Linked DNA regions of Struthio camelus. The protein of the gene in region 2 purifies or fractionates together with the protein of the main gene of each other region. This does not show direct contact. Links are inferred from orthologs where the notes say so. Each region holds a gene or a part of one and is shown on either strand. Other genes may lie near its edges.

The links.
Region 1: the proteins of SLC34A2 (region 2) and ENDOD1 purify together in Homo sapiens (co-immunoprecipitation; 3 studies listed by BioGRID and IntAct, counting the BioPlex papers as one, with this or other methods). This does not show direct contact. The link is inferred for Struthio camelus from reciprocal best matches to the Homo sapiens genes SLC34A2 and ENDOD1.

What each region holds. Positions count from the first base shown.
Region 1 is NC_090942.1:211,859,117-211,874,772, forward strand, and holds the start of ENDOD1 (endonuclease domain-containing 1 protein), read right to left. Parts: upstream 10,660-15,656; 5' UTR 10,566-10,659; coding exon 9,996-10,565; intron 3,199-9,995; coding exon 2,065-3,198; 3' UTR 1-2,064. UniProt on the Homo sapiens protein: May act as a DNase and a RNase. Plays a role in the modulation of innate immune signaling through the cGAS-STING pathway by interacting with RNF26.
Region 2 is NC_090945.1:66,972,470-66,988,125, forward strand, and holds the start of SLC34A2 (sodium-dependent phosphate transport protein 2B), read right to left. Parts: upstream 10,847-15,656; 5' UTR 10,626-10,846; intron 10,508-10,625; exon of another isoform or gene 10,413-10,507; 5' UTR 10,329-10,412; intron 8,921-10,328; 5' UTR 8,865-8,920; intron 8,185-8,864; exon of another isoform or gene 8,131-8,184; intron 7,801-8,130; 5' UTR 7,738-7,800; intron 3,213-7,737; 5' UTR 3,204-3,212; coding exon 3,098-3,203; intron 2,995-3,097; coding exon 2,860-2,994; intron 2,316-2,859; coding exon 2,187-2,315; intron 1,264-2,186; coding exon 1,120-1,263; intron 526-1,119; coding exon 414-525; intron 1-413. UniProt on the Homo sapiens protein: Involved in actively transporting phosphate into cells via Na(+) cotransport.

The DNA.
Region 1 (15,656 bases), on a different chromosome or scaffold from region 2:
CTGACTGAAGGAGGGAGCAGAGCTCAGCGAAGCCCTGGGGAACAGGGCCACTGTGCCCTACTCTGCTATCAGTGTGCATTTCTACTCTCCTGGCTCACCTGTGACGGTGAGGCTGGGTCTAGATAATTGGTGACTGTTCCCTGCTAATCAGAGCTGTTCCCGCACACTCTCCAGCTCTGGTGTCCCAGATGTAGAGAGTGCCCAGGAGTCCCGGCTCACATCAGTGAGGATTGCATTATTACTGGTGAAGCGGTGAAGAAGAGGGATTGTGTCACCTCCCAGCATAAATAAGTCTGCTTGTGGAATGAGCTATGGGCTATCTAGAGAGGTAGTTATGCAGTAGAATGAGTGTTGTGCCCCAGATCTCCCTCCCGCCACTCCTTCCTTTTGACTGTCAATAATCTTCATATGAGAAAGGGGTGACACAAACACTTTTTCCTTTCTCTGGTTTTCAGAAAACAAACAATGAAAGGAGATGTCCAGATCTACCAGAGACTGTGCTGCTAGGACTCAGGTTGAGCTGGGCACTGCTGATTCCTGTAGCTGTGAGAGCCACATCACCTTTCCTCTTGTCTCGGGTGGCAGAGGACCTCTGCCCTGCCACGTCAGTGCTGGCAGGACTTCCAAGTGTAATTAACTTGCCACGAGCATCCTATTCCTTTTGCCATTTCCTTCCTGATTCCAGGACTAACTTCCTCGAAGTCCTGGGCATGGCACAGGTCTGGTTCCTTAGATCACCGCCACTCCCTGGGATGTAACATAGCACCAATGGGAATCATCTGCTCTCCCTAGCACAGAGCCTTGCCCCACTCTGCAAGTCGCCTGTGCTCCAGTGTCTGGGAAACATCTAGGAAAACATAGTAGCCCTCAGTGTGAAAGCAGCAAAATTTCCCCGTGTGCTCCCCACGCATCTCCTCTCTCACGTTCCTTGCATCCCTCTTCATAAGGACTTCTGCTGATGCTGCTGATTCAGACAAGTGAGAAAGGCAGAGCTGCTTTTCCTCTGTCCTAGAGGAAAATGCGGGAGGATCATTTTCTCCATGTGAGCTGGACTTTCAGAGCATGCCTAAGAAGGATGCCTGTGACATTTTTGCTTTTCAGCCTGGGTATCGTCTTGCAGAGATTTCAGGCACATAAATCCTGCTGCATATTTGGTGAAGGGTCAGCTCTAAAAGGAGGCAAGACAGGCTGGTAACCGAAACATGGGTGTTTGATTCACAGCCTAAAGCATGACTCACGCCTCTCTTCTGGGCTTTAAAGCAGGTCAGCCAGAACAAGAACTTTGGTGTTTAGACCTTTAGTGGTCACCAGAGAGCAAGGAATGGTTCAGAGAAAGTGAGCTTGGTATGGTTAAGGGAAAGTATTTTCCCACTACATGAAAGAACTGGCAGCTAGTATTTCCTCAAAATAAGACCCACGTGATTTCAGCTGCCTTGAAAGGCCAAGGCTTGAGAACTATTGCATAAAATACACCTGGCCTAACTCTTCCTTGAGCTCCACCAGTGGAACCTCAATGAAATGAACAGTGCAACAAACAGCAGAATTTAGCTCTGTGTTCCCTTCCCGCTGCCTACCACTCCCCACCATTTCCCAGCCCCTAATTCTTGCACCCTTAACCTTTTCCTTTCTCCAGGCTTAAGAAAACCCTTTGCAACTAAAATTCTCCCCTTACTACCACCTCCTCCCTGATAGGAAAGTGGTTCTGTAGAGTTCACTGCCAGTGCATAGGTCTCAATGTCAACTTAGTCGGAACGAAATAACCTTGTACCACATTTAGAGTGTATCTCCCAGAGGAAGCAACTTGACATTTGCACATCACAGAAACTTTGTGACCTGCACTCATAAAGCTCAAATACTTTACAGTAGGTAGAACTTAAGTTACAATGGTGGTGTCCCCTGATGAATTTACTTTGGCCCTCCCTGTTACTCCCCAATTTGTTCATTATTATTAATGTTACTGCAATAAATATCAGAATAGAATTGACAGCATTTGGCCACATTTCTTAAAGCACTACTCCACTCCTCTTTCACTTTTTGTCTTTGCAGCTCTGATTTCTATTCTTATCAGTCATCAGAGGAGCCCTTAGGGACAAACCTTTTGGCTATGTGAGCGGCAAGGTAGTAAAAGCCATGCAGAAGGGTGGCCGTGGCATCAATAACCAGTGAGAAGGTGCCACCAATCCCAGTGGCTATGTCTTTGAGGACGGAGGGAATGGCACAGATGGAGTAGTAAGGGAAAGCAGCGAGGTGAAGGACAAATCCCATGGGGATGCTCAGGATCTTGTAGGTGAAGACTGTGACATCTTGAATAATTTCCAGAAAGCCCTGCAGGATGTTGATGATGACCTTCCCCACATCACAGGGAATGCTGATCAGCACCTTGCTGATCTCTGTAAGGTAGAAAACCACCCCATTCCACAGACTGTAGACTCCATCCAGAAGAGTACTGCCAACCCGCTTGATAATAAGCCACAGAAAATAAAATATGAATTTCACTAGCTCCACAAACACGTAGATGAGGAGTTCCAGAAGTTTGATGAAAGGGGTGGCAATGATGCCAGCCACTTTTCTCACTAAGCCACTGTCTTTGGCCTCCTGGTTGTCACTTGTTCCTGCTTGTTCTCCAGACTGGATCTGAGCAACAATTTGCCGTATTGCTTCCATTTTCTCCTGGCTTTGGTTATCTTCCCTACAGTTGCCCTTGAACAACTGAACTCCTGCTAAAAGCTGCTTCTCCAGCTCTCCCACTGCTAGCTCTGCCAAACTGCTTTCATCTTTCATTTTCTTCACCAGTCCTAAAGACCATCCTTCTGGAGCATCACAGCATGCTGCCAGCCAGAGACTCTCTGGCACTGACACCTTGCCGTTAACTTGGATGTTGGAAGGAATAGCACCTGCAAGGAGATACAGATGATCCTTCTCGGAACAGTGAGGGACTAGAGCTTGCTCCACTACCCTCCTGATGTCTCTGTGCCAGCTTTTGCTGAGAGACGGGCTCAGAGGAACGGCGTTTGTAAGGGTGTAAGTGGCCATCTGGAAATCTTTCTCATTAAGCAAGCTGGGATTCAGCAGCCCTCTCTCATAACCAGAGCCCACATAGTCTGAGGTCAGGGCCTGATTTGCACCAAGGTTAGCAACAGAGCCATCAATATCAGCTTCATGCACCATCTCTTGTAGCTCATTTTCTGGATCATCAATCTGAAAGAGTAGAGAGAAGAGTTATTGGATGCATTTTACCTTCTTAGAAAGCAATGTGCAAAATAGATCGTAAAGTGCATTTTCCATCATGACTGCTATGACACACTGTTCCTCAGAACACATGCTGCACTCCTTCCTTATTTTCTTTTCAGTATTTCAGAGGTGCATATGCTGTACTTAGCTGTTCTGACAAGCACATAGGTGTAGGGCAGGGATGCTTACAGTTTTCCATTTTGGTCTACAGCACAACACAGCCTTCAGAATTTCACCAGCCATCCTGTACTAAGCCCCTAACTTGTGCCTGTTGTAAAAAATATTTTTAAGAACAATAGATGACCACCTTGAAGATGGTGGTACCTCCAGCTCAACTAAAGCACCTATTGTGGCACTTTAAAATATGAATGAGCAATTCAATTCCTCTTAACTGTCAAATCCAATCCATTCATTGTGCAAGAAGCCAGAACCAAGTAGGGCAACATGGCAGTGACCTAAATTGTCCTTCACAGTCTCGAACATAGGCACTGCAGTGAGCTCACAGGGCTCTCCTAAGACTTGTCATTTACAATCTGAACCTCACCCTCAAAGACCACATACCTCCCAGGGGCAACATGGGTAGGGACACTGTCACCGTGAGTCCTTGGTGGAATCTGTGCTATGTGCCTGTTTGTCATTCTTTTGCCATGGAGTTGTAGGTAGTAATTGCTGGATCAGGCACTCCTTCCAGAGCCTTAGAAGGTCGTGCACCAGGAGGTAATAAGCAGTGGGAGCAAGAGCTCTTAAACACCATGGTACGCTCAGGTCTTTCTCAGAAGGCTGCAGCTTTGTCTTTCTCTTAGTCACTCCTTTTTGACACTGTCTCCAGCCTTTCCACAGGGGTGTACCGCATTGTAATTTTCTTCCCCAGATTAAAGGTTATATACGCATTGGTAGAAGCTCAGGGGTGCAGCCAGTCTCTGGTAGTCACTGCCTCATGTGGTGTCTGCTTAAGATGCCATGGCGCTGAAGTCCCAATGCTGTGCTGGCCCAATTAAATCTGCTGTCTTTGCTCCTGGCCTAGAGACTGTTTACTGCACTCTATAACACATATTTTGGAAATGGATATGGCAGATAGATAGTTCATATCCTGCTTTGAATCACTCTGTGCTCATCCCTCCTAGTCCCTTGGCTCCCCTGTAATGTATTTGAACAGATGGTTCCCACCATTTATGTCCCTGAGATCTTTCATAGGGTTTGCACCCTTTTGGTACCCCAGCTTCCTGCATTATGTCTTGATAGCTGTGATGTCTACACCAGCTTCTGCTAAGAAACAGTGTGAAAGGGACAGTGCTAGTGAGCGTATGTAGCTATCCATCATCCTCATTGTGGGAACTGAGGTTTGACTGGCCTCTTGCATCACCCAAGCCCCTGAAGCCTAGACTTAGGAGTCTCTCTGCACAAAGGCTGGTCGCAGTGCCAGCAATATTAGCCATTTCAGCAGACCACATTACCCCCATTCGCCTGCTAGCTTTCTAGCATTTTGTTTTGAAGCATCTGATGCTTATTGCTACTGGGCTAAAACGAACACAGGCCTGACCCAGGTTAGTGACTCTACGTGCTGATGCACAAATCTTAGTTTTTCTAAACGCATCACTTACGAAAGACTTTTGCCTTATTTTGCACCCTCTTCCTCATGCTCCCTAGCTGCTCCCTGTGAACTACAGCTGTCTAACAAGGCCAGATTTGTTGAGCTGCACTCCATAAAATTACAGCCCCTTCCTTGGCCTCCTCTGTTTTCCCTGTTTTGATGAGAGGACAGTGTTGTGTTATGGGATGAGGGATGCAGCTGGTGTGTTTACTCACACAGTATATATGAGGGGGGAGCTGACACAGGTGCTAGGCCGTGCCTGTGAACTGCCTCTTGTACCATCACCCCTTTAAGTGAAATGTCATTTCAGGGGCACTCATCCACACTTGTTCCCATTGCAGATCTATGCTGCAGCCTCTTTCCTGCCTCAGAGTCCTGCAGCCTTCTTGATAAATTAAAGAAAATGATGGAGGGAGACTGAGATGCTGTATCACAAAAGATGCAGATCTGAGACTAGTCAGCTCTGCCTTATTGCAGATTCCCAGCCTACATTAAGCTTATAGTATAAACTTAAATTTCTCTGATTATGAGCTAGCACATGCAAACTTGAAGATGCCTATTAAGTAAATATGTCTCCAGTTACCTGTTCAGCTGCAGGATTTTACACATACCATTGGGATTGCTCAGGTGCAATTAAAAAAACAGGAAAAGCGTGGCCGTGTGCTGTTCCTATGTCAGAAAACAAGAGTAGGCTGTGACATCACTAAGGGCTGATGCTTTATAATAACTCACATTATGCTTTGCAATAACTCATGTTATTGAGCTTTTCATGCCTCCTCTGACAGAGCCCCAAGGGCAAGCTGTCTCCAGCACTGTATCTGCATGCAAGCTGCCTTTCCTCACTGGCTCAAAAAGCTTTTGGTTTGTGGCACAGGCAAAGCATATCTCTAGTCATGGAGTTAGCCATGAATCCATCTGTCCAAAGAATTTGTAAGGACAAGAGTCAAGTACACGTGTAAACACCTTACTCTTGGGTGGATTTAAAAATAAATTACATATCTAAATACTTGCATGGTTCTGCGTTCAACCACCTAACACTATTATATGGGTTTATCCTTGCAATACACAAAGTGAGGGTTACCACTTTATAGAAGGGGCAGAAGGGGATTAAAGGCGTATTTCCATTGCAGGCAAGAGCTTGACTGAAGAATTGAGGTAGGCATATAGCTGCTATGCCAACTAGTTGCAGTCAAGTTTCTTCATTTAAAAAACTGGACACTATTACCTCCCACCTTCCCTACTTTAGTACTTAAGATGGAGATATTTCATCTAGCCTTAGTGTGGGATTCATTTCCCAGGGATTAGGTACAATGCATCTCACGCTAAGGTTTCTGTTGTAGGAAGTACACAAGTCGCTTCAGAAGTACCTGTTTCTCCTGGCTGACGACTACCAAGAGAGATGAGAAGAGCAGCTCAGATGCAAACCTCTTTGGTGGAAAAGGTCTATAGCTGGGTGACGTAATGCCCACCTCGGTCATCTAGCTGATGGTAGTCAGTAAGTAAATTAAAGGACAAGGAGACTCATCCAGCTTATTGTATTTTAGAAAAGAAAAAGCAACGCCAGAGTTCTCCCTCCCTCTCTCTAAAAGACACAGAGAGAGATAGACAAAAATACAGTTTTTAAATGACTGAAATTAGACAAGGTGAAACTCGCCTAAGTAACTTGCTCTCGACCCCTGAAGAAATCTGTGGCAGAGCAGGTTTTCAAAACCAAGCCTAGGGCATTGCACCAGTATCCTGCTCATCAGACTGCCCTTCTTGCTCTCTAATTTTTCACAGTCTTGGTTGCTGAATTAATTCACAGTTTCCAGCTGCCAATCAGCAGTGGGTGGTGCTGACATTCCTCTTGTTTCCCATCCAATTACTGCCTCTGTGCTACGTTTGGCATTTGTTTCCCAGACGCACATTCCTGAGGAGGTAGGCACGCAAGGAGTGAGACGCTGCCCTCACAACTTACACCATGATCTATTACAAAAGAACATGTGACAACTCTTAGTCACTCATCAGACTGCACAGAGCATTTTTATAGTGATTTCTTTCTGCTTGGTGCATCTCTGCATGTGTGTGTGCATGCCCATGTACACAAACACGTTACTATGCAGTTATGCCTGTTTGTACCTGGCTATCCCTGTCTCAGTTAGGAAGTTTCTCAGCAAATAGCCAGTGTATCCATTTCTGGGTTATGTTGCAGAGCAGGTGTTGCAAAGTGTTCCTTTTGGTTACCATCTGAGCTTTTTTTGACTACCCGACCTAGCCTTAATAAGAACAAGTAGAATAGGGGTGAAATCTGTTCTCTGCTGTCTCCCTTCCAGATACTGTATAGCGGATGTCTGAGAGTTGTGTATGTGCTTATTTCTTGAGAGACTTCCAGGAATTTTTTAGTCCTGATTTCTTCCTCTTATAGATTCCTCTGCCAACTTGCTTCCAGTTTTCTTCCTTGGACTGAGGCTCCTCCACTGAACTACACAGCTGCTTTCTTTCACCACAGAGGTACCTGTATTTCAGGAAAGAGTGAAGGAGACTCCTGCACATACTGTAGCTGACAAAACGAAAAGTCCAGCATGGTCACGTCATTGAGTACGTGTGAGCTGGAAGGCCAAATCAGCTGCATAGAAAACTCGTATCCTCGCATTGCCTGGCTTTGGGGACTCCTCTCACTCCTGCTCTCTGCATATAAGGTATCACAGATCAGCCCAGATAGGAGTCTCCACTGCTCACCCAAGGCATGGTTCTCCTGAGCGAGAAAGAAAACGGAGTGGCCTGTGGCCACTTGACAGCCTTGCTCCTGCCTTCGTCCCATCTCTATACTCTAGTAGGTGGGTCTATGGCCAACGGCCAGGCCATAAGAATTTGAGCATGCAATTAGCTGTGGGCAAATTCCCTGAGTAAATGCTTTTAGTCAAAATAAGAACGGCTTCCAACCTCCAGGACCATACTGGGGAATTTAGTGTAATCAGGATGGAGATGATCTTTGCTCGGCCCTCCTTGTTTCCCTAGTGATGCCACCTGACGTGATACAGGTGCTTGCAGTGTTATGGCTCAGTAAAGATGCCCCCCCATCCCCAGCGCAGCTTTCTCTAAGCTGGCCGTACTGGGATCTTTCCTTGTGGCCAAAGGCTAAGTCTTGCTTAGGAAGCATTTCCACAGGTAAAGCATTTTTGCCCAAAGCTCTCTGGTCCTGAGGGAAGCTCAGTATCTTGTCTATCTTAATCACGTGTGTGGATGTGGTGTATCCTTTCAAATAAGAACAATATTGTCACTTAAAGGATGTTTTTGAGTTGAAAAAGAACAAAACAAGCAAGCAAGAGTGAGAAGGAGGTAAAATAATTCAGGGGATTTGTCTTGTTTAGTACTGGGAGGAGTAGCTTGCTCCTTGGAAGAAAAATCCTCAAAACTCTCAGTTTATTTCATACTATCACTGATCTGTAGGGACTAAGTCAGACCCTAGTGTAACAGGGAACAGATTCACAGCTACCCCTGGGGCTACACTAGTGCAAAGTCAGAGCAACTAAGGGTAGAGCCTAGCAATAATTTTGGGGGCTCAGATATATTTCTGAAGCAGGAAATGTAAGAGGTGTGGCTCAGGTGTTAGCAGGTGCTAGGGGGGCCAATCACCAGGTCAGCGAAGAAGTGGCAAGGGACAGAGTGAACTGGATGCAGAGAAGTGTTGGAGACCTGCACAGGGAACCTGCTGTGAAGGGACTTTGAGGAGTCCAAAGAGCAGAAAAGGCATTTGGGCCTGCACAGCTGCTGCAGCAGCTCTGGTGAGTCAGACTGCAAGGGCAGGAGGAGCTATGGTGCCTAGAGGTGACAATGGCGGTCAGTGGCCAAGGCAAATGGGAAAGGATCTCATCTCTGCCACTTTGCTTTGCTGCCTCCACAGCACAGACAGCAGATGTTTACTCGTCTAGGTCTTCTCCGTGCTTTAAAAATTCATCACACTTCCTTATCTCCATAATGGCAGAGTGTGCAAAAACCCTTCCCTCTGTTTAAAGAGAGCAAGCAGACACCTCCTACGGGCATCTGCGGAGTGGAAGAAAAGAAGTTCAAAAGGCTCCCAGGAACTCCTGCAATTAAAAACCCAGCACTGAGAGCAGGGAGATGGTCCAAGGTCAAAATCAGGGTTTCAGAACCCTGCCTTCACTTCCTGCCACCTTGTGGGAAGTGTTTAATGCCTTAATATCTCAGCATCCTAGAAGGAAAATGAACAGCAGCCACCCTTTTGGGACAAGGATGAGCTTTGATTCTGGGTATGTACAGCACCTAGCACACGAGGGCCCTGCTGGCAACATGCTACTCGAATACCACGACTGCTTCTGGTCCTTACAGAGCACCCTCAGAAACTGCCAGTCTTTCTTGAGCTGAACAGACAAGGTGAGCTTGGTGTTTGCTACAATACTGCCCATGCTCACTGCTGAAATAACTGCAATATTGCAAAAAAAGTCAAGTAAAGTGTGCTCGTTCTCTTAAGGCACAAGCAATTGTTTAAGGGTTAAAATACTTAAATATAAATATTTAAATATAAATATATTTAAATATAACAGCCTGAAGGACCTGGTTAAACATGTCAAGTGTCAAGGGAGGCAAAAACCACTGAGGCTGTAGTGATATTCTCTTTATACTGCCCACTTCTGACTCAATTGAAACATTTCTGCTCCAGGACACTGTAATCCACTTCTCTATCCAGTATCTGCAACAGAGGAACACAACAAAAAGCTGCTGTGTCAACTTGGTGAGCCACAAATGCATGTTTTATTCCTGTCCAGTGAAGCTAAAGAGCCCTTATCAACACTAGGATCATGCTGGCAACCGAGCAGCCTTCAGCCTGACACTGAAATGTTTAACCCTATTATCCACCAGCAGTGCTCCCTAATTGAGGTAGCTAGCTAAACGAGACAAACAGATCCTACCGGGTAAAAGACGATTTTCTTTTCCCCTCACATTCCACAGCCCATGCAGCAGCCTCTTATTTTTCAGTACAAGCTCCGTGGGATAAGGAACTATTTGTTCACTTCCAAGCACCAGAATAAGCTGGCTGCAGTAAATTCATATCAAAAGAGGTTCCACAAGCTCTTGACTCCTTTGCAAGATCCCATCCCCAGCTAATATCTTCACCTCAGAGGAAATGTTCTCAAGGAACATCTGCTTTACAGTGAAGGAAAGGTTGACTTACCTGCGGTTCAACCAGCCACTCCTCCTCTTCATTTTGCGCTGGTTTTGTATACTTAAAAGCTGAATAAAGAGGGATTTTGTCCTTAGTACTGTAGAGTGTTGCAAATCGTGGCTCTTTGTTGTACTGCTGACAGATTTTCACATGGAACGGCTCGGTAAATCCTTCTGGTGGGACTTGTCCAGAGAAGAACACATTACATTCAGCAAAACCACTTTCATCCTCTCCAACAACTCTGCCCTGGGAAAAGCCTGGGAAAACTGAGAGGCAAAGCAGAAATAAAATTGACGTCTTCATGGTCCACTCCCTTGAGCTGAGGGAAGCCCTATCTGTCTGCTGGATTCGGCAAAAGACCTGTGCTCTGAGCCCATGCAGCAGTAAAGCCAGCAAGCGTCTGGAATTCGGGTGTAGTGTACAAGGGAAATGAAATATGAAACCACAGCCGTTCCCTTCAGGGAGCGAGCGCTTTCTGCAGGCAGCACATTGTGAAACCAAATGTGCGCAAGGCTGCGCTGACACACGCTGCAGACACCAACTGCCCCAGGGAGATAATGCCAAGCAATCTGAAATCATCGGGGCTAATTTGGAAGAGGAGGTGGGAACTCCATAGCAGTGCAGGTCTATAGCTGAACAGCATCAACCCCTCCAGGCTTGAGCCCAGCGCTGGCAGGGGTGTGGTGTGCTGCATTGCAGCAAAGTCCCCAGGAGGAATTTTGGCTGACACAGCCAGAAGTCTTCCCAGGGCTGCCAGGGGGATGCTGCAAAGTCAGATCCACCACCCAGAAGAAGATTAGCTGCCCTCTCCAGCCACAAGCCTGGCCAAGAGAGAGGGAGAAAGAGGGAGAGAGAGGTGGCAGGATATTGCCACTGCTGAGAGTCCACTTTGCCCCTTTTTTAGGGTATCTATTACCACCATTCCTGCCAGCCACATGCTGCAAAGGAGCCTGGGGAAAGCATTCTCCTCCCATCTCTCTTGGAGCTGTGCAAGGCATCCAAAATCCTCCTGTAGAGCAGTATCACCTCACCTTGGCAGAACCACCCTCAGAAGATACTAATAAGAGGCAGAAAGACACAGACCCTCCAAAAAAATCTACCTAAAGGGAATGAAACCACTCCTCTTCGGTTATGCTCAACAGAGGTATTATCTGCCCAGTGAATAGCTGCCTATGACACCTAGGCTACTTCCGGATAAAAGGCTGCTTCAGTGACTGGGAGAATCAATGTTTTCAGAACAGTGGGGTCGGGGAGGAGGAGACTACAGAGCTCTTCCTCAGAGACAAGAAAACATGCAATTTCCCATCCAGGAAGTTAGATATGATCAGATGTACTGCCAACAACTTCCTCCCCACCACCTTAAAAAATCCTAGGTGCCAATAACGTGCAGGTCTCTTTCAGACAATGCTGTTTTATACTGTTACCCTGATTTCCAAGGAAGAACCTCTAAGTGCTACAAACCCACAAGCGCTCCGCAAACTAGTGAAGGAGTAGCCTATACTGCAAATGAAGAAACAGGACAGGACAGAGGGCAGTTCAAATGACTGCCCACAGTCAGAGAAGGGGCCTGTAAAAGAGCTAAAAAAAGATTGAACTCTACGCAGAGATGACTTCTAGAAGTAGCAACGCAAGGAAATACGTCAGCACCTTTTAATGTGATGTTATCAGCTGGGGGAGACAGAGGCAGGCTGGACAGGCTAGCGAACAACAGGAAATGTAGTAAGTGGGCTTGTTTTGTTTCCAGGCAGACGCCTGGTCACCCAGCCCTGACAGAAAGAGTTAGTCATATTCAGGAAAGATGATGGAAATGAGAATGCAGACACAGCCTGACCTGAACACAGCAGCTCCAAAAGACAGGCTCAAACTGTCATTTTCCTGGATGTAAAAAGGCTCCTGGGAAACGAAGAACTGAAGTTAAACCTGAGCAACTAGATGCTGATCTGATCCCAGCCTTGCAACTGTCCGGGAAGTCCAGAAAATGTCTTCCTGAGTGTTGTAAGCCCTGCTCCCAAGGAGAACCCAGATCTGGCAATGATTTCAAATAGCTGCTTCAAGAGTGAAATGCATTATCCCAGGTTAGGCATGGTACCAAGGAAAAGGTAGCATGGCATGAGGTGTCTCAAGATGGGTATGGCATGCAACCAGCATGCAATGTCTGCAACCAGGAAACATTGACGTCTTGCCTCTTTCTTAAACTTACGCATCAACTAGCAAGTGGGCAGCCCTCGAGCCAGTCTCAAGCGGCCTCAGCCTCTCATTTCCCAGGAAAGCTGGCATGGAGCCACAATCTTTTGCTCCCCACTCCCATTTTCTCTAAGCTAAGCCCCTCTCCAAGTGAAAACTCAGGGCTTGGGTGGCCAGTTTCTATTTAACTTACGATAGCTGTTGTGACCCTCAAGCATGGAACTGTAGTATTTACTTCTCTTCCTGCTATCGTCATTACTACTAAAAAGAGCGAGTGCTGTCATCATGGTATGGGACTCTCTGCCCTGCACAGATAAAGGCCAAAGGACTGCCTTGCCCCGGGAAGATTACACTGTCAGCCAAGCGCTTGCAGACATGCTGCCAGAGGAGCCAAACAACAGAGAGAGGAAGCACATCAGTGGGAGTGTTTCAGAAAACTTAATGCTGCCATGCCTTATCTGCTATTAGATACCTTTACGGGCATCAAAGAAAAAGGGACTACTAAGATCAGATACGAGCGCGGCCTGAAACAGCCTTAAGGCTGTTTGCGTGAGACAAGCAGAAGGGCACCGGCTAAGCATATGCGGTGTGAGACGGCACCTGGCAGTGCAGCATCGCTGGGCCCCGGGGGCTGCCTCCTCCACACTCACTGAGGCCGGCAGAGTGCCACAAACCCGAGGGTGCTGGCAGTGAAGATGACTACCTGATGTACGATGTAACCAAACAGAAGAAGCCCATGGAGGATGTGAAGAGGCAGGTGATGTGGTCAAAGGGACAAGCGAGAAAAGTGACCTCTCAGTAGCAGAAAGGAGATTAGGGCAAAAATTGGAGCTGAGAGAGATCTGCATTCCTTAAAAATGGGGAGTAGTAAAGAAAGGTTAAGAAGGAAAATGAATAAGGATAGGTGTGAGGAAACACAGAAGACAGAATGTAATGGGTCAAGTGAAGAGACGAGAGAGAGAACTGAGCAGAGGTCTTTGCTTCTGTAATGAGAAAATGAGAAAAATATGAGGAGGAGGAGGGGGAAAGGAGGATGAAAGGAGGTTGTCATTGATCTAATGACGATGGCCAGTTCTCTTCTTTCCCAAGGGTCTCAGGTACCAAAATGAATGTCTCAAAAGACAAGAACACTTCCCTAAAAGTTTGTGCGAAATGAACCTGAAAAGTACGTCAGTATTCGAACCCTGCAGCAAAAAGAAGCTGCCGGGCTTGCTTGCCTACTTTCCCACACTGTGCCTCCAGCCCTGTCCTTCAGTTCACATGGCTGACACTGGATTTGCTGCAAATAGTTTCTTCCTCCCCACATGCCCAACCCCTCTAATCCAGTCTATTCAGAGCATACTTGACCCCAAATATTTTTCCAAGCCTGACCTCCTGTCTCCTGTCATGACCTCTGGGCAGGACTGTGGTACTGCTCCATTCTTCTGAGAAGAAAGGGAAGAAGAAAGAGATCCCAAGCATGAGCGCTCCCACTGGAGCAACATCGTTTAATTTACTGGAGACCCCGCTGCTGAAGATTTGGCTTGGAGCACGATAGACCCAGTGCACATGCCACTGCATGTCAGAGAGCACATCTCCTGCCTCTTCGTTGTCTCATAGGGAAAGAATCTCTTTAAAATTAGCTTAAAAACTCAGTCTGTGAAAAGAGCCCAGTGCTGAGCTAGGGAGAAAAGGAGGAGTGAAAAGATTTTTATGCTCAAACTAAGAGATTTGGGGCAGGAGGCGTACATCTTCATGCCTTCCCTATACCACCTCTCTTCCTGAGAGGAATGCCTCACGGCCAGTGGAGTTGCTTCACTGCCCACCTTCAAACCCCCTTTGCCATGGTGCTTACAAAAGAGGTGGGCAAGGAGCAGCCACCAATCACCTAGACATTAGTGCCAGTGATGCTGGTCTGGTTTTATTGTTTCCATAGACTCACCCTGCTTCTTGCACATACTGACCGCAGCAGCCAGGGGATACCTTTCAGTGTCGTCACAGCTGAAATCAGAATACAAAAAGGCAGGGAGGATTAAGAACAGATGGTGACATAAAATGATGAGGGTTGTCACCTGTGGTGCCCAGTCATAGCAAGAGGGTGAAGATGGGGAACGGTGAAGCATTCGCACCACTCTCTGAACTATAACATCTTTAGGACAGCGATCAGTTTTTCTGGGCTTGTACAGAAGCTTGCACAGTGGGAACCTAATCCTGACATGGGCCTTGTAGACCAGGAAGTGCAAATGTATTGTATAAATACTGAATAATTAATAAAACCCAGCGGCTACATTCTTTGGCACTTTATCACAGCCTTAAGACTCAGAATATTTCTGCTAAACTTCAGACTGTTAGGAATAAGCATAACAAAGATCTTGTGTTTGACAGCAGAACTTGATAGATTTATACTAGCAGAACAAGGCAACATTTTTAATAATGCAATAATTAACTATTGGAATGAGTTATTTAGGGATGCGCTGAAAACTCCAACACTTTCATTCATTAATTCAAGATTTAAAGAGATGATGCTTTTTAACTGAAGTTATTGACTGCAATAAAAGAACAGATAGTTCAAATTTAAAGGTCTTTGTTTTACGGATCATCAGTTTATCATAGCCATAATAGATTCTTCACACTTTATATCTGTTTTGAATAGGAAAGCCAGTCACTTGTGTGCTTTTCTCCTAGGTGTTATTGCTTACTATTCGTTTTTATTTGTTTGTTAATTTTTTATTTTTCAAAAGTCCTGAGAGGTTCGGTCAATGCTGAGACCTTGCTGCACTAGGTACTGTGTAAAACCAAGATGTGAGAAAGTTCCTTACAGTCTACATTGACAGAAGACTAAAGGGTGGGAACAAAATTAGAAGTACAGACTTGTTAGGATTACATCAGCTCAAAGGAGGCAATGTGAAAGCCATAACTCCTGAGAAAGCTAAACCTGCTGGCAAGGCCCACAAGCTTTCATCAACAGGCACGATAGCAACCACTCCCAGGACTGCCTGCCTCCAGTAACGCAGCTGAATTTTGGAACTAAGGAGTGGGAGGAGGAATGAGATATTCTGGATTAAGGGTTTGGCTGGGCCAGTGGGGAGCCCTATCGAATAGACAAGGTATAGTTACAGCTGCCCCACAGCTCTCATGCACTCTGTGAGGCCAGGCAGCACATCACCTACCTTCACAGAGCTACAGGGGAGATGCCTACACTGAACCTCATTATTCTTCATAACCTAAGAAGAGAAAAAGGCACTTCTTTTAGGCTATAAAGAGTATGATTTGTGTCATCCTTGATGACTACATGAGGAAGAGATGACATCCTCAGGAAGTGCCTGCATTTCCACACTGGCTATAGAGTGAGCCTAAGAGGTCTACAGTTGCTCAAATACATCTTGGTCAGGCTCTGGCATATTCCTGCAATCACAGGAGTGATTTTACAGTGCTCTTGTAAAATCTAACGTGTTGGCTATTCTAGGAAAGAGTGAGTAGGTCTTTCTCCACGCTCCTTTCAGGCCT
Region 2 (15,656 bases):
TCAATATGCTTTTCTTCAAGTATATGAAGCTATACCATACAGCAATATATTTTGGCTATAATGGCAGATAGATGAGGAATGCTGACAGCTTAGAACTTGTCTTCCTTTCAAAGCCGACAGTTTGTGAAGCAGAATATTACAGAATTGCTGTCATTATTTCTAGTGGCAAGGCAAAATAGGACCTGGTTTTTGCCTTTATTGAAATAAGTGGTAAAATGCTAAATGATTAAATTTACTGCATTAATAGGTCATTAAAGCTGCTTTAGAAGTTTGCTTGCAACTTTTCTAACCAGACAGTGAAACATTGGACAACAGAATGGCTGAATGGCTATAATAATGACAGGGAATATAGAAGAAAATCTGCTAAGGAGGAAGAAAATAAACTTTTCAGAGCTAGAGTTTAAGTACAGTACCTTCTAAATTCATTCCTGTCCCCAGCTTGCATGAGTGCCACAATTGTGTTTGTGACTGAAGTGCCAATGTTTGCCCCCATTATGATGGGAATAGCTGATTGAACAGTCAGCACTAGAAAGCAGAAAATGAAGCAATGAATGAAAAAATCAGAGCATCAGCAAGCTATTTGGTCCAGCAAAAATTAACATCTATTAATGTCATAGGAGCCGTGATTTCCCTTGACACCAGTGGGATTAGGCACGCTGATCCAGATATGTTTGCTTTAATCAAGCCCCTTTGGAACGTAATACCAGCCTGGAGACCCTCACTGAATCTGCAGCACATAGTTATCTCCTTTCACTGCATGATAAGGGGCCAGATTAAGATAAAGTTTCTTCTTTGCTAGGCATTATCCTCCTTATTGCAGAATTTTGAAATGATGCCACAAAAACAAATGATGTTCAGTAACTGGTTAACATGAGGAACATATACTTCCAAAGCTAATATGTTCAATGCCAAAGGATCCAATGCTTTTCATTACTGTTATGGACAGCTTTTTCTGCAGGGCATTCATTTCTTTTTTTTTTTTTTTCCTAATTCAATATCAGAGCAACAGCTGCAGTCCTGACTCTTATACGCAAGTTTCTACAATTTCAAGAAAGCTCAAGGTGCACCACGCACTGAGATTTATGGGTGATCTCCAATAGATACTATAACTGGACTTACACGTGGAAGACACCATGCTGACCACAATGGACGAAGAAGTGCTGGAGCTCTGGACCATAACGGTCACCAGAACCCCAATCACCAGTCCTGCAACTGGATTAGACAACACGGAGTCATCTTGAAAAATGTCCCCTGCTGCTTTACCTATGAAAATATATTCTTAGAGTCAGGGAAGGGCCAAGTAACATTAATAGGAATTAGCAGAGCATTTCATTAAAGAATATTCAACAATTTAAAATGATATGTATGTGACCATGCTTGTCAGCTGAAAGATGGTACAAGGTGAGGTGGCTCAGGGATCCAAATTCAGGTCCTGAACTCTCAGCTTCTCAGATATCAGAGAATACTTTATATTCTTTCATTTCAGTAACCGAAAAAGCTCTAGTGAGCTCTGCAGAGAGCTATATAAAACCACCTCCATCAGAGGAAAGACTATAGAATAAAAAAACACACACAGACTTAAATGCTATTATTGCCTTAATGTTTTTGGTTACTACCAAAAGCTATTTTAATAATACTGAGTAATTCAGTGCCCACTTCTGTTTCTGTAGTTTTTTGTGTTGCTAAAAATCCAGAGTAACTACACAGAAGCCCACATATTTCTCTAATCGCCTCCTCTGAATCCATGAGCAGAGTTTCACTCTTGGAGATAGGTAAATGTAAAAAATATATGTCAGTAGTTTTCATTTTCAAAGGTTTTTTGAGGCATTTCAGTGCTGAACGCTTTGATCAAGGAAGCAATTTTCATATTTCTTCTTGCTGAAATGATTTTCACATGAGACAGATTATGCCCAGGTGGATTTGTGTGAACTGTCTCTAAAGTATCAGGAACTTCCTAAGAAGTCCAGGCCAATAATCCATAATGTCAACAGCACTTTGGAATTTGAGAAATAAAGGTCCCTTTCAAACAAAGAAAGGTCAGACTTCAATGAGAAATGCTTCCTTCTGATTCTGTATAAATCTATTAAGTATGTTCTTGAAGGCGGATGCTTCTAATCTGGTCACTCAGATGAGATTTACTGTCTCATTCATAGCTTATTCTTGATATTTTAGAAGTATTTTCATACCTCCTACCAGTTGAAAAGCAGAGCTCAGCACATCCAGGGAACACACGAACAAGTAGAGCAATCCAAGCAAGATAATAAACTTCCCTATCCCGTACAATATACGAATGATTTTCCCTTTTCTATCCAGTTCTGCAAAACAAATAAGTTATACATAAAAATGTGTTTGAAGTATCCAGTGTTGTTTTTGGAATAGTTTAGCACTCAAACAGAGACTATGGAGTCAAGGACAGTGTTGTGACCCTAGTGTGACTAAACACAAAAGAATGGTCTTAATCAAATTTTAACTAATGAATCATTATATTCAAAAGCTTTTGATATAATACAAAGGCTTTATGAAATCAGAGCTTGACCCTTGGTTTTATACATCTACCCTAAGTCGGTAAAGAAGGACTAATAGGAGCCTGAAAATAAGTTCATATTACTTTTGGATTGTTTTCCGTATATTTCCCCATGCTTTAAGGTCAGTAAGCAGCATGATTTCCAGAGCTGAGTAAATATACTATTTTACCAGCGGGGAAACTAACCCAGAGAATGTAAAACCTACATCTGAAAATCCAAGTGCTCAAATCTTAAATTCAGTTCTCCAGAAACTGTCACTTCAGAAAAATAATTGAGACAAAGAGAATGGAAGTGATGGAAAAAGAAAGTAACTTGTATACTGAGAAATGGCTACCTGACCACTTGACCCCAGTGTCCTGCAGTTCTGGCAGAGCCCATGGGTCATCTTCTGGTCTTGTCTCATCTATCAAGGCTATTGTGGAAAATGCAGGTTGAATTTCCCCTTTATTTCCAAGTGACGCTACATTGCCTGATGAAATAGAACACACGAAAAATGACTTAATTATCTTCAATCTTTCCCAAGAAGCCCCAAACTTATAGATCCCTGTAACTCACAGGTAAGCACACATTACCTTTGTGGTTTTCTCCTTCTTTTCCAGGCACGTTCTGGTTTTGTTTGGAAGAATCCCCAATATAGTTATTGGTTTCAGGCTTTTCTACCTCAGGCCAAGGAGCCATGATCTGTGACTAACAAAGTAGCGCTTATTAAAATGTGTGTGCAGTCAAAATATTCAGCTCACAACAAGGTATGTGAGCAATTTGATTGCCTCTAAGAGAAAAAGAGATGGAAAAGCAGTAGAAACAATGTGTCCTTGAACACAGCTTTTTTTATTATTCTTTAGGAATTATTCCCTTATTTGTGAAATTGTCATCTCTATTATTTATGGAAGCACACAGTTAGTTTAATTGTACAATTTACACAATTTTTAGAAATTATTTGTGTCTCATGCATGTATTTTTGTTTAATTTTAACTGTAATGACAGCAAAAGATTCCACTGCTTTCTGAACCTTAAGTACTTCATTAATTAATTTCATCTCCTTTCAGCAAAAATCAGAGGACTGTTTTACTTTTTCCATCTTCTGGTTTTAACTGCCCTCTTGTACCAAATTAGTAATTCAACATACAGACCCTAGCAAAGAAAGTTAGAAAATTATCTCCTAAAGTCTTGCCTGTCTGGGCCATGCACGCTAACAATAATCTTCTTGTTGCCTTTACTGGTTCATTTGCACGCTAACATAAAGGGGAATGTGACCCTCAACAAGTTGAAGGAAGCCCCCAGAATTTCAAGTGCCTATTGCCTGGATCCATGCTGAACAGCTTGACAAGAGTGTGATTAAAAAGGCAGTGGCCATTTGCTATTCTGTCTAAAACTCCCATAATCAATGCTGTAAGTGAAGCCGGAATAGCAGCAGCACCAGTGGGAAACTTCTGGCTCATCCATTCAGAGTAGGTTCCTCTGCCTGAACCTCTTCGTTCCTGAAGCTTTTTGAGCACGTTTGGCAGGTTCGGCACTACATGCATTGTGATGTTATTCAATAATAATGTAAAAATTATAAATCATATGGCCAAATCCTGCTAGCCTAAGTGAAAGCACACATAACAAATCTAGCCCAGGCACAAGCTGAGGAGGTAGCTACTTCTTGAACCAAAACCTGGAAGAACTATAATATTTACTTCACCAGTGTTGGGAGGCAGAGGAAGGGGCTGAACCAATGGTGAGAAAATTTGTGTCCAGCCTTCAAGAGTCAGAGTTAGAGTGGGTATCATGCTCCTGTAAACAAGGTTCAACTATGTTTAGCAGCCATTGTAAGGAAGTGCAATTAATCATTCATCTAATCATGATCCTTTATGTGATGTTGAAAATGTTTTGTCCCTGCCCACATCAACAGCCGCTCGTCCTACTCCTGCATTCAACTTTAGCAGGGAGAAAATGTCACAGACAAACACGTATGTCTTACTGTAACAAAGCGCGGTTTGATTTATGCTCCTCCACTGAGAAAAGGATTTCTCCCTTTCTACACGAGTATGAAAAATTATTCTGGAATCCCATTAGCAAAAACTATGCTTTTACACACTCATTACCAGTGGCTTAAGATCCATAGCGACTCCTAAGGTTTGCAGAGGAAGATCTCAAAACAGACAGAAAAAAATCACCCTTACCTGTTTCAACAAGGTTTTCCATTTGCTTTGAGTAAATTCTTACATTTTCATATGTGCCCAAAAAACTTCCAAGCCCCACCCGTACCAGAACACCGCAGTCTTGTTAAACAAGTTGCATTTACATATGTTCAGCAGTTAAAGAGCTCCGTATAAAAACAACTGCTCAGCATAAGTGCTTAAGTGAAAGGCAACCATGAAAATGCACTGGAAATTCAGATGTGAAGTTGCATTGGCAGCATATGCCATACTCCATGGCGAGACATAGAATATACTGAACAATACCAGCCTGAGAGATGCCAAAAGCTACTTTAACAGCTCTTTTGTTACATTTATATTCAGTGTGGAAACAAAGGAGTCAGCCTCCATGATTACAGAAAGGAAACTGAAGTGACACATTTGCTAGAAAAACCAGAGCTTGAAAACTTCAGCAGAAGAACTACCTCTTTTTCTCCAAAATAAACCTCCTCATTCAAGAATTTAGCAATGCATACTTTCATAATAAGCATCTCTCATGTTCCTGAGGTGCTCAGGATCCCACAGGTACGTCATATATTATTATTGTTTTTGCTTTACGTGATTAAATACGCGAGAATGAGAACTGAGCACCTCTGTGAAGGAAGGAAGATGTTCTTTATAAGTACATATATAAAACTATGCCTATGAGTCCTAATCAACCTCTATTTTGGCAAGATAGACTTGAATACCAGAGGTCCTAACCACATTTGCCTTGTGTATATGGGCTTGCGGTGGTATTACAAGTCTGTCTGATTGGTATCAAGGACTGATAAAAATAGAATTACGTAGATCCTTGAAGCACTACCAAAACTGTCAACTTTCTTCAGATCCCAACTCTTGTTAAACGAAACAGCTGAGGAGATAATTTACAGCCACCTGATACTCTGATTGGTAAGAGTCCTGGCCTCAGCTACTTACTGTTAATTAATCTCCATGCTACAAAGATAATCTACATTCTGCAGTTTTCCCTCAGAGAATTTTTTCTTGCCCCAAAGACAGACATTGATATCTTGATAAAAATATTCAGAAGAAAATTAGGGTGCTGCAGCGGAGCAGTACGGGGGGGATGACAAAGCTAACTAATGACAAAGGCTAATGTCAGACGCAGTATAAAAGACCAACATCGCTTTACACAAGATGTAAGTGTAAGTCTTACACAAGACTATGCAAAAGGCAAGAGAAAAGGGAATTAAGACCACAGCCCTAGCAGTGGTTTACTTCTGAGCAGGGCGGACATTACTACACTGAGAAGGAAGATGTTAGAGAACGAGCGCAGGATGGGCTGGTGACTACCTACACTGCAACGAGGAGCTGGTTTCAGCGGGACGCACCGGTCTGGGTCCAAACAGGGCACAGCCACAACTGCTAGATGAGGTACCCAGAGCGATGAGCCTTGCCCATTCCCATGCCAGCTTGGGTGTCTCTACGCTGCACTTCCCGCGCTCGCGTTAGCTGGCGGGGAGCCATTCAGGGCGTAGTTGGGTAGCTGGAGTCTGGATAATCATTGGCACTTTGAGTATCCACCTGTTTAGACATGTGCTGAAATGGGAGCTACTTCCTTCTGCTAGCGGCAGGTCAAAATACTCTCTGCATATTGCAAAGGTCTGAAAGCTAACGCCTGTGCAAACTGTAATCCAGCCTGTTTCAACGACTCTCGCAGCAAAGTCTCTCGCACCGTCTCGCACCATGTGCTCCTTTCGTTGTAAGTATTGTCTTTCCTCTCCTTCGGAAAATGCTAACTACCTGTGACACCCTTTCTAACTAGAAAAGAAACTGAAGCCTCCTGCTCCTAAGAGGGAGATAAACAGAAATAAACGGAATTCAAGCTATGGAATAAAATGTGAGATATAATGTTGAAGACCAAGTGGGCTCCCATGATTTTTATAGCCATAGTCATTCTCTCACTGCAACATTCTTCTTCAGAGTTAAACTCGCTGGTGTATTATCTGAGCAACACTAGGTGTCATCCAGTTATCCTGTACTGTGTTCCCGAGTGACTCACTGAACTGCTACAACATTTTCTCTGTTGTAGGGCTAGACCGCCAGTGCTTTTCAATTTTATATCAGAAACAACTGTAAATCTATTAATTTTGCTGGAGTTAACACAGAGAATATAAGCCACCATTTGCATGTGTCTGCATGGTATTGTTTGTACCTCTCCACCCGTGACAGCTCACTGAAAGGGCAAGCTGTGCTGGAAATATGCAGTATGAAGCAGCAAGCCTTAAAGAAATCTAACTTCTAGGGGAACAGACAAAGGGAAATCGAGATGAAATGAAGTTTCTGGAGAAAATAGGAGTATTTTCAAATACAACTGGCAACAACTGCAACAAACAGCAGCGTGACCATACACGCACCTGGATTTTTTTTCCAGGTTGCTCAAGCAGTTCTGAATCAAGTTTCGGTTTCAGCCAGACTTCTCTCTCTCTCTCTGTCTCTCTCACCCCTCTCTTGCAGAGTTTCTACACATACGCATCTCTTTCTGGTCACTCAGCACTGTGCTATAGATTTTAGGTTAAAAAGAGATTTCTCTCTTTTATCTATTTCATTTGATATCTAACTGTACAAACTGGTAAATACGAATATTTATCATACTTACTTTATAGGAGTAAATACATAGCTACATAGCAATCCTTCTGATACACACTTTGAAGAAATATTGATTTTTTTCCTCAAAATGCATCATTTCAAAAATAGAAGCAAACTATGCAGAGATAAGAAGGAAGAGATTCTTAGCCAGCACAAATTAATTTAGTTTCTTTACCTCAGTTGATAATTTTGCCCAAGAACCTGTTTCATTGCAGCCACAAAGCCCCAGGTGCAGCCTGGGTACAAGCTAGCAAGTTAAGTAAATGCCAGCAATGATTCAGCCTTGCCAGGAGCAAGTCTTGTCTTTGCTCTGGCACCAGCCACTTCCTTGGGGCTCCTTCTCTGAATAGGTTAGCATGCTTAGCCAGGATGTAAACTTCCAACTAATGTTGCACTAAAGGACAAAATAGCTGGGTGAAAGCTAAACAAATAAGCATTGTACTCACTGTTTATTCCTTCTGATCCCTGAGACTTCTTTCTCACAAGCCTGAATCTAACACATGGCAAAACTAAAAACATAGATAAAACAAACTAATAAGAAAACACATTTCTAAGCTAGTGCATATAGAAAACAAATTCCAAACGTTAATTCTTGCGTTCACAAATAAGCAAAGCACCAGGCACTGCCTCTTAAGAGCCAGAACCAAAACTATGTCAATAAACTACTTGAAACGTCTAGTAGGTATTTAAATAAAATAAGAATTACAATTTTTAGAAGAAAGCCAAAAAGTTCCCACCAACAAAGAAATATAAGAAATCAGACATCTACCCCATCCCTAACATGAAACATATAGTAAAGAACCTAGAGAGGAAAAAGTAATGACATTAAAAAGACTTACTGATCTAATGGAAGAGCTGCTAATAGAAGTTACTGAGATACCAGTCGATTCCTGTCTACTGTCACATTAGTTGAGCTAACAACATCAGACTAATGTATTCCTTTTACCGCAGTGTATCAAACTGAATTAGCATAAGAAAATGTTTCCATCAAGAATAGCCTGACACTGCAATAGTGCTGCACATAGACATTACATACTATCTGTGCTAACACATGAACTGACAGTATTTCCTTCCAATAATGTTTCATTAATCATATCCTAGACATTTTCCAGTATCCAATACCACTGAATGCTATAACTTAAAAATCTCGCTGCTTTCTAATCCAAACAATTGTTAAAACAATACTTTCTCATGTTATAGGCAGTTATTTTATTTCTCTTTGGCTACTACTATGTTTATTTCCTCCGGAGTTTGCTATAAAAATAAATCTAGCTATTGCAATCTCGTTTTTGTATATGTAGTCTTTGTTAAAATAAAAAGAAAAAAGAAAAAACTAGTGCAGTATGTTTTTTATAAAATCCTTAAAATATCAATGCAGCTGAAAGAACACAAGCTGAAAATGCTGACAACTGGATGACATTTCACATGCCACTCCAGCTCCCTACGCTAGCTCTCTCTGCTGCCACTTCTAAAGCTGCAAAAGCCGAGCTCTTGATTTATAACCTAATCAAGTTAAAAAAAAAAAAACCAGGCAAACAAAGAAACAAACTTTGTCTTAGTTGCTTTTACTTACCACTTCTTTCTTGCCAGGCAATAAAGAGAACGGATCAGCTGGGCAGCCACTGAAACCTGCAATATATATAGACAGGTGTTGAGCAAAGTTTGCTTTCATCACCGCACACTAACATTCCTATTTTACAGTCCAGAGGCACTGCCTACCTGCAACTTAATGATCACAATCAACCTTTTTTTAGCAGGAGTGGGCAGCAACCAAGAGTGATAAAACTATGGGCTGTTTCACACTTATCACACTCTAGGAAATGTCCCATCAGCATTAAATAAGAGTTATTAACGTGTTCATGTGAATGCTATAGAATGGTTTGTTCCAGCCTAAAAAATTGCAGTTCGCCTGATCATTCAATAATCCTTTCTCCAAAAATAAGATTCAAAAAACATTTTGCAATCTCAGAAGTCTGTCAAAAGGATATGAGGAAGATGTAATACTGTTATTTCTCTGTTCAGGTGTCTATTAATCTGCCTAAGAAGAGAAGTGAGGGAGAATCAGATAAAAAGCGGTGTAAATAGGAAACAGGTAAGAACTTCTCTGAGAACAGAGGATGGAGTTTCATTCTTATCAGTGCTCAGTGTTTACAATTAAGGAGAGCTCATTAGCATTTTGGCTGTGGTTCTCCTCCTAAATGAGATTTAAAGACATAAGAGCACCTTTGGTAATTGCATTCAGAATTCCAGCAAGGAAGAGGACTATCCAATAAATAGATATGTTATTCAGTAAATCCATAGTCATTAGCATTGCTGACTGTTCTACCGATGAGCTTAATGGGGCATGTGGGAGACTGCAGTAGGCACTGTAGCTTTATTCTCTTTGAACTTTTACTGTTTCAACATGCAGTTTATACTTAGAAAATGAGCTGTAAAACAGCAGCTAGATCAGCAGATCTGCTTCGCCTGCGTGCATGCGGACATATCTCCCAGCGAGTTCATGACTAAGGAACTTAGTGAGAAAAAGAAAATTGTAGCTTTTTGCACCTTCCTGCCCGCAGAGACACTTGGCCCCAGGAGCTGAGAGTCAGAACTTATTCTGCACGTGCATCAGCAGCGGCAGGGTTTGCTAAACTGCGCGCGGTGAAGCCTCTGCAAGCCCATTCGCAGAACCACTGCGTGGCGACGGAGTCGCTGGACCCGGCCTTTGACTACAGCGGAGCTACTGGTGTATAACCAAACGCCAGTTATTAGCCTTATTATGGGCGACGGTGGAACGTAAGGACAAAAGCATCAGACCTGACTCACTGTTCCCAGCTGCAGTTTGCAGAGGGCTGGCTACTGAAAGGGAATCAAATCTTTTCCTGTGTGAAGCTGAGAACTGTCTGAAGTGGAAAGAAGTGACAGAAAATGGACCCTAAGACCACCATGGTGGTTTACACGGTGTTTTCTTAACAAAAGTGTACTTTTACATTACATATAAAATTACCAGTTTGAATCGACACCCTACCTGTAGGAAATCAAATGAAGCTTTTACCTGGGACTCCTTGCATTTCTCTGAGCTGTGGTACATCCTCTTCTGAGTCACTGTTTGTGAAATCCAGCTCCGACGGTGAGGAGGCTGTGGGATGTGCATGGTCTAAGTACACAGTTGCAGTTCAGCTAGTATGCCACGACGGCTTACACAGTATTTTTATTCCAATACACTTCATTCATTTGGTGAGCACATGCCTATGCACTGACCATATTAATGTTTTAGGAAGGGAACAATCCCCAGCCAGAACTATCCTGTTCCTCCAAAACAACCTTTAGGAAAGAGAAAGCAGTCACTTACGCAGAGGCAGGCGATCCAGGGTCTGTGCTGGGCAGGCTGGGGCAGCCCTCCTGCGGAGTCATTCGGGAGAGCCTCTACGAGCAGCCTGAAACGCTCATTCCCCGGCCATGAGGGATGGAGGCAGCCCTTGCTCAGGATCGGAGCAGACGAGGCTGAAGCTCTCCGCAAGACAGCGAGGCAAGCAGAGCTGCAGTTCAGAGTGCTGGCTTTTCGTTCCTTAGGAATAGGAAAAGATTCAAAAGATGGTGCTACTAAGGAAGAATAACCCAGTGTTGCCCCCGCCCCATTCCCTGGATAGGGAACATTTAATAAGACAAAATAAGCAAGTAAATTTCAAGGGTCATGATTTCCCATCACAAAATTGCTGGATTACTCTGAAGCTACCTAGACTCAATCTATACCTGCCTAAAACCCATTTGAGACAGTCTAGGATTTAGCAGGAGATGCAGCCACAGAAAATGTCTCTACCAGAGTGAGAAAAAATTCCTGGCATGTGTAAATTCTGTGAGGTGAACTCTGTCCAGTCGCTGCTACATGCCGCAAGAAGTTATAGCACAGACAAGAAACACGTCTGCATAACAGACCTCTGTGCTACAAAATGCTACCAGCTCCTTTAAACAGCTTGCCCACACTATTGGCAGACTTGCTGTGAAAGTGTCAACCCCATTCATCTCTAAGAACCACACCCCATGATACTAAATCAAAGGTATCTCATACACAGTCAAAATCAAAATAATCAAAAGCAAAAAATAGAAGTGGCCATCTATTCTACAAAGGTACGAGATCAGCCTGAGATATATATCCACTAACAGCTATATTCACATAAGTTTGTTGTTTCAATAAATTCAGCTTCAAAAGACAGCATGCATTAGCAAGATGCTCAGCTCAGATCAGGAGAGAAATTATTTCCCTTACAGTTCAATTGAATTTTCAATGTTCCCCAAATCCAAGGAATGCACAGCTAACCGCTTACTCTGTTCTCAAGGTGCTGAAACTCCAAAATACAACCACAGGGCTCTAGTGAAGAGCCTGTATTTGGAAATTACATTGCCCATTTTAACTTGTTTATAAACCTTGACCGAAACCTAGTTGTCTGCATCTGTGAACTGCATCTATGTGGTTTAAATTAGCCTTTTCTTCTTCTATATATGTGACACCACAAAGCACTGATCATAAAAGAAAGTGATCAGTGCTGATTTCAGTGTGAATTACAGCTAGAACAGTAATTTGGTTAAAGACTTACCTCTAATCAGCTAAGAACATCTTCCATTGTTCAATTACCTGGAAGAGTTTAGGCCCTAGTTTTTGCTGTCATCTGAAAAGTATTCTACATTAAAACATTTTAACAATACAGTTTACTACTGAAAAAACCCAATCAGATATATTTGGTAAATATTAAATTCCACATTGATACAGATCAGGGCACGTAGTAGGGAATCAATATTTGTAGCAGACTCTGTCCCTGGCACTATATAGGACACTGATTTCAGAATAGAATGTAAATGACACAACTTTGTAGCTGATTAATCCATTTATTTTCCATTAAGAAGTGTAAATTTGTCTTTGAAGCTTCAACGCCTACAAGGAAATTGTCTGCTTTTAGCTACCCTGTACCCCTCCACTTCAGGTGGCTATGACTGTGATGCATCCTCAGAACACTTTTTTCTTTTGCCCAGGGTTTCTACTGCACTCAGAAATAATAACTCCTCGGACTGCTTTGACAGCAGTAGGAAAACACAAAATTAATGGATAAAGAACCTGAATCCTATCACAAAGCACTCTATTATAATCCTCTATGCATTTCATTCTCTCTCACATAAAAGATATGCAAATCAATTAGTGGAGTTATTGTAGTTAACATACATACTTCCAGAGCTGAGTAATGAAAAAAAGTCATAAAGAGGTAGTATTCAACAGAGTCAATGCCAGGAAGAGGAAGGTAAAACAAGACATGAGGGGAAGGAGTCATGAAGAGAAAAACTACAGGAAGGGGTTTCATAGATGAGAAGCAAAAGTATTTCGAAACAAGAAAAACAGTATTTATGAAGAAGGAATAACGAGGCCAACAACATCAGACAGGCAGATGTGTTTGAAAGGAAAGTGGTACTGTTCTGTTTTCTAATAATTGAGCAGTCCCTTCACTATAGAGCCAGTTTATTCTCATTATAAACATGACCTCAAATGTTTCTGTCAGTAATTACATTATTGTGGCCCTTCTTATAAAGAACCCCCCACAAATACATCCTTGAGATGTAACAATCAGTGAGGTTTTTTGTTCACATCCTCCCAAATAGCTATTTTTTCCATCCAAGACACAAATGACAATTGTTTCTACTCTTCTTGGAATATTTTATTTCAACTTCCTATTCATTCTGTGTTTTGCTACTAACATATATCAGAACCCATCTCAGAGTTCATCAATACATACGGGACCGGTCCTTCAAACTCCACGCCGCATAGCGGGGCACATGGGCTGAGAGCAGCGGCAAGAAATCTGCCCAGGCCCATGGTGAGACGCCAAATATTCCCATCCCACTCTTGGGGAAGCCAGCAACAACAACAGACAGAAAGACATAGACTAAAATGTGGCACAGGAAAAATAGCACCAGCACTAATCTGAATTTGCTTTTAGTCAGAATCCCAAAAAACATGAATTTTATCAACCACCTTGAAAACTGAAGTCCAGATACAATTTTGAAACTTTTTTTTTATCATGATGGCTCTAAACTTTCATTGTTTATCTTGAATATTCAAAAGATTTAAGAAACACCCATTAAAAAAACAACAACCCCAAAACAAAGATATTGCTAATTCTTTAGGATAAGAAATCTGTAATCACAAAAGAAACCCAATATTCTTCCCCTCTTGCTAACCTTCTCTTACTTTTTTAATAGTCTCTCCCCTTACTGCACCCCCTTGTTTCCTCCCTGCTCCTGTTCACTCCCTCAGCCAATCTTCTATTCCACATCCGCCAGTGGCCTCCCACTTTGGACACATATTAATGAATGCAAATAGCATCATCCCAATAAACAAGTAATGGGGAAGAGGAAGAAGAGAAGTGGAGGGAAATGTGAGAGGTTTTAAATAAGTGATAATATTTACACTCTTATATAAACCTTAATTTACAGTTCCCAAAGTGCTTCAGGGACGTAGGTATTGTTAACTCCTTTATTATTCACAGACTGTTGAAAGACAATTTTTTAAAAAAAAATACATTGTTTTCCTCCTACACAATTTGTTAACCCTCAGCTGACACTGGACACTGTGCTGCCAGTAGCTGGACGAGCAAGTCTAATTATCAGCCAGCCAGATGAGTTGTTTACGCTGAAGATGAGACTCATCTCACATTTCCGAACTGTCCAGTCCCGCACACGAGCTGAACAGCCGGCTAGCTTCCCCATGCTGCTTACAGAGCCTCTTGTCGTTTACAGTAGCCACACTTAAAAATGCCTCCTACCTAAATGACTTCTGCCTAAAAGACTAATTGGAGAGTGGCTTAAATGAGGAATTTTGCCAGAATAAATGATCTCTCACAAAATGTGCTACTTTTTCAAAGGGCAAGCGTGCACTAAGTATGCATTGTGTACAGGTTTGCATGTTTCAAATAAAGCATTAAACGCCTCAAATTCTAGTTCAAACATTCCGAGTTATTTTATTAATAACAATGTTTGTCACTTATTGTAGAAAAATCCTTGACTATCCTTTTATTCTAAGTTTTCACCCCAAAATAGCTTTTAGATAACTCTTAGATAAAGTTATCTAAAGGTGACTTATTGCTAAAGGTGAGAGAATAAATCTCTTTTCTTTAAACTTACTTTTCATACAACTAATTATCTAACCTGCCAATTCAGCACGTCTTTAAATTGAACTAGTAAAATTAACAGCAAAACAAACTATTTAACAAATCTCCAATAGAGTAATTTTACTTAAAATATAGTTCAATAGCAATTATCTATGATTATCATTTAATATTTCTGTCAGAATAATCACTAAAGGATCTCAGCTCAAGTCATCCAAAGAAAATAACAGAAGTTTGACCCTTAAGATACTTTAATTTTTTTTTTTTTAATATATAGTAACTAGATGGCTTAAAACCTTTATCTCCTTAACTCACAAGAGAAGCATGTTGACAAAACCCTAAATCAGTACCTGACTACTACATTAGGAGTGTGGCTGAGCAAGTTATCTTGAGAGACTTACTGTCCTGCACATGTATAAAAGATGTATGTTGGTCTATCAAGTGTACATCATTTTTCATTTTAAAATGAAATGGTATATATATTTCACTTCTGTAAGATTATCTTCTTTAAACAGATGCTTTTGATATTAATGGAAAGACTGCACAAGAGCAAGGACAGACCTTTCAGGAGCAAGCACCACAGTAATTTTCTTACTGCATTAGACAAACTAGTTTTGCTGCATGCTTGCGAGATCTGGCAATTAGAAGACCTCCCTGTGCCGCACATCGAAAAAATGTTCTCCTTCTATCATAGGACTTCTCCCAGTTGTAGCTATTCCACACAGGTTATTTTGTCTAAATCTTATTATCAGCTGTGAAAACTGTGGATTGTTCTGGAGGATTTTGTTCTAGTAAAGACAGCACTGAAAATGGTACAGGGACCAAACCCCAGTCTCCTTGCAGTTTAAACTGGATGTTGGTCTCCAGCCCTCATAACAAATTATACAGGGAGAACTTTAATGTTTTTTACTTTTTTAATAGAATTCTGCTCCAGCAAACTTTCTATAGGCTTTAGACACCACTCTTAAAGATGTTTGTAATAAGTGACTTCACTGGAATAAGAAAACCATCTACATCTGTTAATGGCATTGCTTCTTGTTTGAAAACAAAAATCTTCCATAGACACACAATTACAGTTCCCATTGACTTAGAAGTACTTATATATTTAAGTATATGTATACATATGTCTCAAAAGTTATCAAATGGACCAAGGCACAAATGCAGTAGCTGCTTTTAATTGTTTTCAGTTTATCCTTTTAAACAAATGTTTTTTGTTTTTTTTTTTAAAAGAG